Sus scrofa: one gene and its partner. The protein of the gene in region 1 interacts with the protein of each later gene in a pairwise test. Links are inferred from orthologs where the notes say so. Each region holds a gene or a part of one and is shown on either strand. Other genes may lie near its edges.

Evidence for each region. The genes of interacting proteins can lie anywhere in the genome.
Region 2: the proteins of TMEM79 (region 1) and PLP2 interact in binary tests that used the Homo sapiens proteins (3 or more experiments, as listed by UniProt). The two-hybrid records come from large-scale screens. The link is inferred for Sus scrofa from reciprocal best matches to the Homo sapiens genes TMEM79 and PLP2.

The regions. Positions count from the first base shown.
Region 1 is NC_010446.5:93,766,038-93,770,352, reverse strand, and holds the start of TMEM79 (transmembrane protein 79), read left to right. Parts: upstream 1-1,512; 5' UTR 1,513-1,840; intron 1,841-2,890; 5' UTR 2,891-2,933; coding exon 2,934-3,693; intron 3,694-3,947; coding exon 3,948-4,161; intron 4,162-4,315.
Region 2 is NC_010461.5:43,213,927-43,218,227, forward strand, and holds the start of PLP2 (proteolipid protein 2), read left to right. Parts: upstream 1-1,445; 5' UTR 1,446-1,611; coding exon 1,612-1,707; intron 1,708-2,796; coding exon 2,797-2,949; intron 2,950-3,043; coding exon 3,044-3,139; intron 3,140-3,676; coding exon 3,677-3,767; intron 3,768-3,992; coding exon 3,993-4,015; 3' UTR 4,016-4,301. UniProt on the Homo sapiens protein: May play a role in cell differentiation in the intestinal epithelium.

The sequences.
Region 1 (4,315 bases):
CCTCCGCCTGCCAAATCTCGCGATATCAGTTGCACAGTTGCAGGCCAGGGGGCCTGCTGCTACCAAATCTCGCGAAAGTCGTTTTCCCTCCCGGGAAGTTGCCAGAACTAACTCTGGGCGGCATGGCCTCTTTCCGGCTTCTGCAAGCCCTTGTGAAAAACTTTATTGACAAAGTTGCCAGAGAGCGAACAGCGGACTCTAAGGAGGGCTGAGCCTAAGCAGATGGGCTCACAGCTAGGAGTGTGGCTTTGCCTTGTCTGACTGTGGTCATTTGGTTCGTTTTTCTGTCGCCCCCATTTGAGTCGAGCCTCTTTCAGGTTACTAGTTACAGTGATTCTAATTCTCTCTTTTCCCCCATTATTTAAACAAGCAAAAAACTTGTATGTGAAATTTTTTTTGGAAAGAACCGAGTATGACAAGGCCTTCCAAGATAAGACTCTTACACAGACACCTCAGCCCTTCAGCTTCCGACCCCAACCCAAAGATTTCCACTTGCATGTTCCTCACTTACTGTTCCAGTAAACATTTATTGAACATCTGCTGTCTTCCAGCCACAGTGCTGGATTTTGGAGTCACAGAGATGAGCAATTCAGACATTGTCCCTCCCCTTACGAAGCTCTAATGACTTAAGGGGAAAAGATCCACAGGAATGAGAAGTTACACCCTTACATTTCTGCCCCCTGGTCCTCCCATAGGAAAGATCACTGTGGATTCCTATTGCTGTCTTTTTTTTAATGGCCACACTCTCAGCATAAGGAAGTTTCCAGGCTACAGATTCAATCCAAGCCATGGCTGTGATCTATGTGACCAGAACCACTGCAGTCACGTTCTTAAACCACTGTGCCACGGTTTTTGTAACCTTAAACCTAACCTAAAAAGCAAGGTGCTTAGGGAGATGTTCCTGAAACAACCTGTCTTTCCTTTTTATTGGCCTTTCACTTGTTGTTCCTCTGCCTGAAACACCCATTCTCCTGATTCCCAGCAGGTCTCAACTCAAATATCACTTTGGCAAAGAAATTTTCCTATTGAAATTGTCTTATTGATTTATTTTCTAGGCTTCTTTATTATCTGCTACCCCAACAGAACAAGCCCCTTAAGTCCAGAGACTTTGCCTGTCATCTCGTTCTTTCCTATGTCTATGCCCAGAATAGTGCCTAACTAATAACAGGTGCTCAATAAATATTGAATGAATAAGTGTAGAAATTCCACCTCTCTTTTGGGTGTTTTCCAACCTACTCCAACATCCTTTTTTTTTTTTTGGTCTTTTGTCTTTTTAGGGCCACACCGCAGCATATGGAGGTTCCCAGGCCAGGGTCCAATTGGAGCTGTAGCTGTCATCCTACACCACAGCCACAGCAAAGCAGGATCCGAGCTGCGTCTGTGACCTACACCACTGCTCACAGCAATGCCAGATCCTTAACCCACTGAGCAAGGCCAGGGATCGAACCTGCATCCTCATGGATACTAGTAGGGTTCATTAACCACTGAGCCATGACAGGAACTCCCCAAGCACCTTCTGATGCACAAACCCATTCTTCCCCCTTTGCTTTCCTGTGCTGGGAGTTCCTACAAAACCCATGTTCCTAGAACACACTTACCTCTAGGCTCAGCTGCACCCCCACTTTCAGAGAGCATGACGTCCTTCTCTAAGGCTTTTTCTGTCGGCAGATTCAGCAGGGCGGGGCCTGCCCTTTAATCTGGGCCCCACCTGCTCTGGTCAGACAGGTTTGGAGACCCAGGTAAAGGGAGGGAGACGGAGAGAAATACTTGCAGAGCCAGCAGCGAGCTAGGCAGCTCCTTCCCGGACGCTGGGGACCCTCTACCTCTCTCCAGATGGAAAGTAAGTGGGTGTCACGGGTCCAAACATTAAGGGATCGGAGGTCCTTGAGCAGTGAAGGGAGGGAAGTTAGCCTCATCCAGAAGCAGTGAGATGGAGGACGGCAGGGAGGGGAGAAAGACAGGAGAGGAGGCATGGGAAACAGCTTTGATTAGACCTAGAGGTCAAAATGGACAGACCCAGGCCCTTCAGATGTGGAGTGGGTTGGTGAGAAGTTTGAAAACCGACCAAGTATCCAGATTGGAGACGAAAGAACAGGGTCCCCTGCTACTGCCAGCTCCTTGGGACAGATTTGTTGGCAAATCGTTGGTATAAGTTGCCAGGAGAGTTCCAGTCCGGGGTCTTCAGGGGAAGGCAAGGTTTGGAAGTGAAAGGGAAGCTTCTCTGTCCACGAGAAGGTCTTTAGCAAGAAGAAAGCCCTTGGCAAATTTCTAGACACCTCCTTTTCCTCTCATTCCTGCATTTGGGTGGCCATGACCCCAGGGGTTTTGGTGGAGAGGGGCAGGAGATGTGGGTGGAGGCGAGGCCACAGCTGCCAGGGCCTGTGCCCCCTGACTCACCCTCTCCTGGTGAATAGCATTTGATGTCGAAAGGGTGTCTCCATTTCAGCTGCTCACTTCCCTCCTGCCTCACTCTATTTCAACACAAGGACCATGTTCTCCCTAAGGTCCCAGATGGGGCTAAAGCCCACCGTAAGACCAGCTGAGCTTCGGTTCTATCAACCCAGAAAACAGCAGCTTTTTTTTTTTTTTTTTTTTTTTTTTTGGCCTTTTTATTTTAGGTCCGCACACGGGGCATGTGGAGGTTCCCAGGCTGGGGGTGGAATCGGAGCTATAGCTGCTGGCCTATGGCACAGCCACAGCAAGGCCAGATCCAAGCCACGTCTGCAACCTATACCACAGCTCGTGGCAACGCCAGATTCTTAACCCACTGAGCAAGGTCGGGGATTGAACTCGAAACCTCATGGTTACTAGTTGGATTCATTTCCACTGAGCCACTACAGGAACTCCAAGAGCAGCAGCTTCTGACAGAGCTTCCCTCTGCTCCTTCCAGGGTGACACGACCTTACGGTAGACCCCAGAAGTGAGGCCCCAGGATGACGGAACCCGAGGCCATGGCCCTGCTGGAGGTGAAGGGGCCTGCAGCCCTGGAGAAAAGCCCACCCCAGGCCTTGGTCCCCAATGGCGAGAAGACAGAGGGGGAGGGTGGAGCTGAGTCTCCCAGAGCCGAGTCCTCCAGAGTGGGGTCTTCAGCTGGGTCTCCCACAGCCGGACAGGGGACTGAGGATGGGCTAGATAGCACAGTAAGTGAGGCTGCCACCTTGCCCTGGGGGGCTGGCCCCCAGCCCAGTGCCCCGTTCCCAGATCCCCCAGGCTGGAGAGACATTGAGCCTGAGCCCCTCGAGTCAGAGCCAGCCACCAAGCTGGAGGAGTTGCCCGAAGATGACGCTTGCCTGCTGCCTGAGAAGGCGGCCCGAGCCTTCGTGCCCATCGACTTGCAGTGCATTGAGCGGCGGCCACAGGAGGACCTTGCTGTGCGCTGTGAGGCGAGCGAGGGCGAACGCCGCCGGACCTTCCTGCCCACCCGGGCCGCCCCCGCTGAGCCCCCTGAGCGCAAGTGGGCTGAGGCAGTGGTGAGGCCGCCTGGCCGCTCCTGTGGGGGCTGCGAGGGCTGCGGAGGCCATGAGGGGCTCAGGGCTGTGGCCTCCGTAGGAGCTGCTTTCATCCTCTTCCCCTGCCTGCTCTACGGGGCGTATGCCTTCCTGCCCTTCGACGCCCCGCGCCTGCCGACCATGAGTTCCCGCCTCGTCTACACGCTGCGCTGCGGGGTCTTTGCCACCTTCCCCATTGTTCTGGGTGAGCCTGGGTCCTGTGAAAAGGGAGGGGGCATCTGGGAGCTGGACTGGAGGGCAGGGCCTTCCTGGCTTGGAGAGCAGGAGAGTTTCCCCTTGTGAGACCTGGACCCTCGGGGGGGCCCCCCCGCTACCCTGTGTGCCCACCTCTGCCCCACAGTGTAGAGCCCATGCCCCTGAGCTCTCCACTATGGACCCTGCCTCCAGCTTCCTGCCTGCTGCTCCTCTTCTGACCCTGTGTTCTCTAACCCCACCCAGGGATCCTGGTGTACGGGCTGAGCCTGTTGTGCTTTTCTGCCCTGCGGCCCTTTGGGGAGCCACGGCGGGAGGTGGAGATCCACCGGCGATATGTGGCCCAGTCGGTCCAGCTCTTCATCCTTTACTTCTTCAACCTGGCGGTGCTTTCCACCTACCTGCCCCAGGACACCCTCAAACTGCTCCCTCTGCTCACTGGTCTCTTTGCCATCTCCCGGTGAGTTGGGGCTGGGGGTGCGGGACCAGGGAGGTAGTGGGGCTAGAGGGACCCAGGCCTCTGAATGTCTGGAGGTCCAGGCCCAGGGAGCTTTCTGGATTCTGGATCGGCCTAGATGTGCTTGTGGGAAAGGTGAATCCACTTTCTCCCTCGC
Region 2 (4,301 bases), on another chromosome or scaffold:
GTGCGGCCCTAAAAAGACCAAAAAAAAAAAAAAAAAAAGAAGAAGAAGCTAGGTGTCTGAAGGGCTGGGAAAAGGATATTGACAGCTGTGGGGACAGCAAGTTCAAAGGCCCTGATGCAGAGCAGGGTTTGTTCTGTTCTAGAAACTCAGGCACGTCCTCAAAGAGTTGGAAAGCACACAGTTGGCTCTGGGAAGTGTGCTTCATGCCTTCCACTATCCAATCACTCTTCAGGCAACCTGGGCTGAAAGAGGGGAGCCCCTTCTGTGGTTGTGTGGGACTCCGGGTTGGGGACGGAAAGCAGACCGGCCTTGGTTGAACCATCCTGGCCTTCCAATGAGATGAGAATGAAAGCAACACCCACTCTGGAGGGTGTGCCCCTCAGCACATCTTGGGGGAGATCCTGATGCCCGTGACCAGGTGCATGTCGCAGATGCAGAAATTGAGGCTGAGTCAGGAGAAATTACTCGCTCAGGATAACACGCTCTTCAAATGTCATCAGCCTGTTCACCGAGCCTGGCACCCAAGAGCCTTGCCCTCATCTTGCCAAGCTCCCAGCAATAAATAAGCCTGTCCTCCTTCCCCATTCTTCATCTGGGACTGGGCTGACAGACCCTTTACTTAGAAGCAGGAAACAGAAGCTCAGCACTTAGGGCCAAGACCTCCCCAGAATTGCAGAACAGAGAATCATATCTTGGGCTCTGACACTATTAAAAAAGTCCACCCTCATCTACTCAGCAGCGTGATGCTCCACAGGCTCTGTTCTCTCTCTGTCTCGGGTCTGTGCACTGGCGAGGTCCCATTCCCATTGCTACTAAGAGGTTTATTCCACCGTCTATGACCTTTTGTCCACAATTCCAAAATCCAAAAAAACTCCAGAGACCCACAGTTTTCCCACAAAGTTGGGCACCATTTGGTTCATTTGGTTACAAAACTTGACTTAACCAGGAGTGATTTTTGGTCCTGGCTTATCCCACTTGCTGTGAACGGCCACACCATTCCATGAGGAAATAACGTGTTTGTTTGTTAGTTTTTAACCGGGCAGTCTCAGACACCGCTGAGAAAAGTCATATATCTTATATGCACTGGGAAAACTCTCTAAACCCCGAAATATGCTGAATTCTGAAAACGGACCTGAATTTAACCCTGGCTTTGGCCCTTTTTCCAGCTAAGGAAACTGAGGCACTCCCTCCCCAAAGCCAAAACATTTCTGAGTTGAGGCAGCCCCAGGCACATTTGTATTCTAAAAACGGGAAGGGTCGTCTCCTTTCAACACACGTTACGAGGAACTGCCGAGCCTCAGAAGCTGGTAGTTCCCCCCCCCCGCCGCCCGAGATGGGGCGCCCCGGGGCGGGGTGGGGGGCGCTGTGCGCTGTGCGCTGGGCAAGGAGAATCCTTGGCGGGCGGGGCGAGGGGCTTCCGGGGCGGCAGCCACCTGGCCCAGCCCGCTCCGGCCCCGCCCGCTTCTGCTCCGCGCGGTGATTCACTCCCTCCTTCGCCCCGGGGCCCCCTTCCCGGCCAGACGGCGGGGAAGACGGTTGGGTGTGCAGCGTCCTCGAACCCGCAAGCAAGCGAGCAGCTCCTCGGCGCCCTTCGGGACTCAGGTCCACGCCATGGCGGATTCCGAGCGCCTCTCGGCCCCGGGCTGCTGGGCCGCCTGCACCAACTTCTCGCGCACCCGAAAGGGATTTGTCCTGTTGGCTGAGATTGTAAGTGTCCTGGGACTGGCTGGTGGGCAAAGGCGGGTGGAGTGGCTGGATCACGCGGACTGGGGCAGCCCCGGGGGAGGCAGGCTCGCGGCCGCGGGTGATCGGCAGTGGGGCGCGGGGTGGGTGGGTCGGTGACGGAGGCCCGAAACCAGGGGCACATGCAGGGCGAGTCAGTGAGGTTTGGAGAAGGTGGTCGGCAGCTGCTGGCCCATGGAGTCAGGCACGAGGCCCACAGGGCATACGGGCGACCCCGCGGAAGGAGACCCCGTAGATTCATTAGTGGACTCATAGAAGGGGTTCCCGGGGCTGGGTGGTGGGGGATCCTCCCGTGGCAGGGCGTGGCGCGGCCTGGGCAGTGGCGGGCGGGCTGGCAGAGCGCCCAGGGGCGGGACCTGTTGGGGTGGGGCCCCCGCGCGCGCTTGTCCCGCGGGGCAGGGCCACCCGTCCTACCCCAGTTCTTCCTCGCTCCTCTGTGACGGGGCGGGAGGTCCTTAGCTATTGGGGCCGCTCGGGAGCCTCGGTTTCCCACCCCCGGCAAAGGGGGTGCCTCCTTTGAGTCGCTCGTAAAAGAGGTGCGGCGCCTTTAACAGAGCCCTGCCCCTCCGGTGTCACTCGCACCGATTCCCAAAGGGGTTGCCCGGGGAACCGCACGTCCCGCCCCGTCAAAGCCCTGAAGCTGGCGCCAGCAGCGCTCACAAAAACCACCTGAAGGCACCACTCCCCTTGGGCTATCCTAGAAGGGAAAAGAGGGGAAACTGAGGCACCCAACCCTACCCCTCCCTAGCTAGGTGACCCTGGATAAGTTACCTCGTGTCTCTCTGTTCCTCTCTTTTCTCATCTATGACATAAAGGTATTAATAATAGTACCTGGCTCATTAGGTTGTTGCGATGATTGAGGGAATTAATACCTGTACAGCTCTTAGAACAATATCCCAAACACAGTATGCACACATTAAGTGTTTAGCTATTGGTCATCTTCCCAGTCCTGGTGGGCATCTGAGTTTGAGACCCTCCCCACCCCCAATTTAAACCCACGCCCTCAGCCCTTGGAGTCGATCGATCGAAGCCCCCTTTCGCCTATCTTTCCAGGTAGTGTGCCTGGTGATTCTGATCTGCTTCAGTGCCGCGACGTCAGGATTCTCTTTCCTGTCGGTGATAGAGATGATCTTTGCTGCTGTCTTCTTTGTCATCTACATGTGTGACCTGCACACCAAGATACAAATCATCAACTGGCCTTGGAGTGTGAGAAAGGGGCCACAATGACCAGGCTAGGGAGGGGCTTGGGGAGGGGGGGGATTTTGAATGCTGACTTTCCTCTTCTCCCTGCCCTTCACAGGATTTCTTCCGAACCCTCATAGCAGCCATCCTCTACCTGATCACCTCCATCCTTGTGCTCGTGGAGGGAGGACACAGCTCCAAAATTGCCGCAGGGGTAAAGGCTGTGGCTCTGAAGCACTGGGAGAGGGGTTTGAGGCTCCCGGGGCCATTTGTGTCTCTGCTTCTGTCAGAAAGTGTGTGACCCACAGGAGGTCACACCTGTCCTCAGGGCCTCCTGCAGAAAAGGCTGACTCAGGTCCTGGTTTTCCTCCCCCAAGTGTCATTGGCAATAAAGGGCCACAATTTGTCCAACACAGGGACTTGTGTGGGAAGCACAATGAGACGGCCCCTTTGTCAATACACTAGACTACCATCTGCTAGAGCTTTGTCTCCGTGTACAGTATGAATGGGGCCGCCTATATATGGGGCCACTCTGTGGCTGCACTGTGTTGAGAGGTACTAGGAAGGGGGAGGGTGGGGGTAGAGACTCATCTCTGGCCTTTCCCTGGGGCTCTCTGACTTCTCAACCTGGGGCTTTAGTCATCATCCCTGCGTGGGGTAGTCATTGAAGGTGGTAGGTACAAGGAAGTAAAAGAATGAGGAGTGTGACCTGCCCTAATCCAACCCACCTCCTTCTCATCACCCTCTCCAGGTACTGGGCCTACTGGCTGCATGCTTGTTTGGCTACGATGCCTACATTACTTTCCCCTTGAGGCAGCAAAGACATACAGCAGCCCCTACTGGTAAGTGTGTGGGTGTGTTGGGGGGGGGGGGGCGGTGTGGTTAAGGGGACTGAGAAAGCAAGAGGTCTTCCAAGAGCACGAATGCGAACTCTGTCCCTTCTTGGTACTCAAGGCTTTAGTGCCAAAAAGTACCATAAGCTTCAGTATACTTATCGGTAAAATGGGCGTCTTAAAATCTGTAACAGGAACCTGCCAATGCTGTTTCTCTCTTCTCCTCATTTGTAGACCCTGCAGATGGCCCCGTGTAGGTGAACTCCCTTCGCGTGTCTCAGCAACCTGCAAATAACACCTCCATCGCAATAACTCCTTCCCGCCCCTACTGAAAGTGCCTTTACCGGGAGACCATGCCTTCCAGCCTGCCAATCAACCCTCCTGGGCGTGGCCACCCTTATGGGTCCGCCTAGGTCCACCTTCCTTCTGCAGTATCCAGAGACGCTAGTTCTGCCTGGACAATGCCCCCACCTAAAGCCACAGATTTCAGACTCCAGGCCCCAGGTTGTGACCCTCTCCAAATAACCTTTTCTGTGTGTGTTG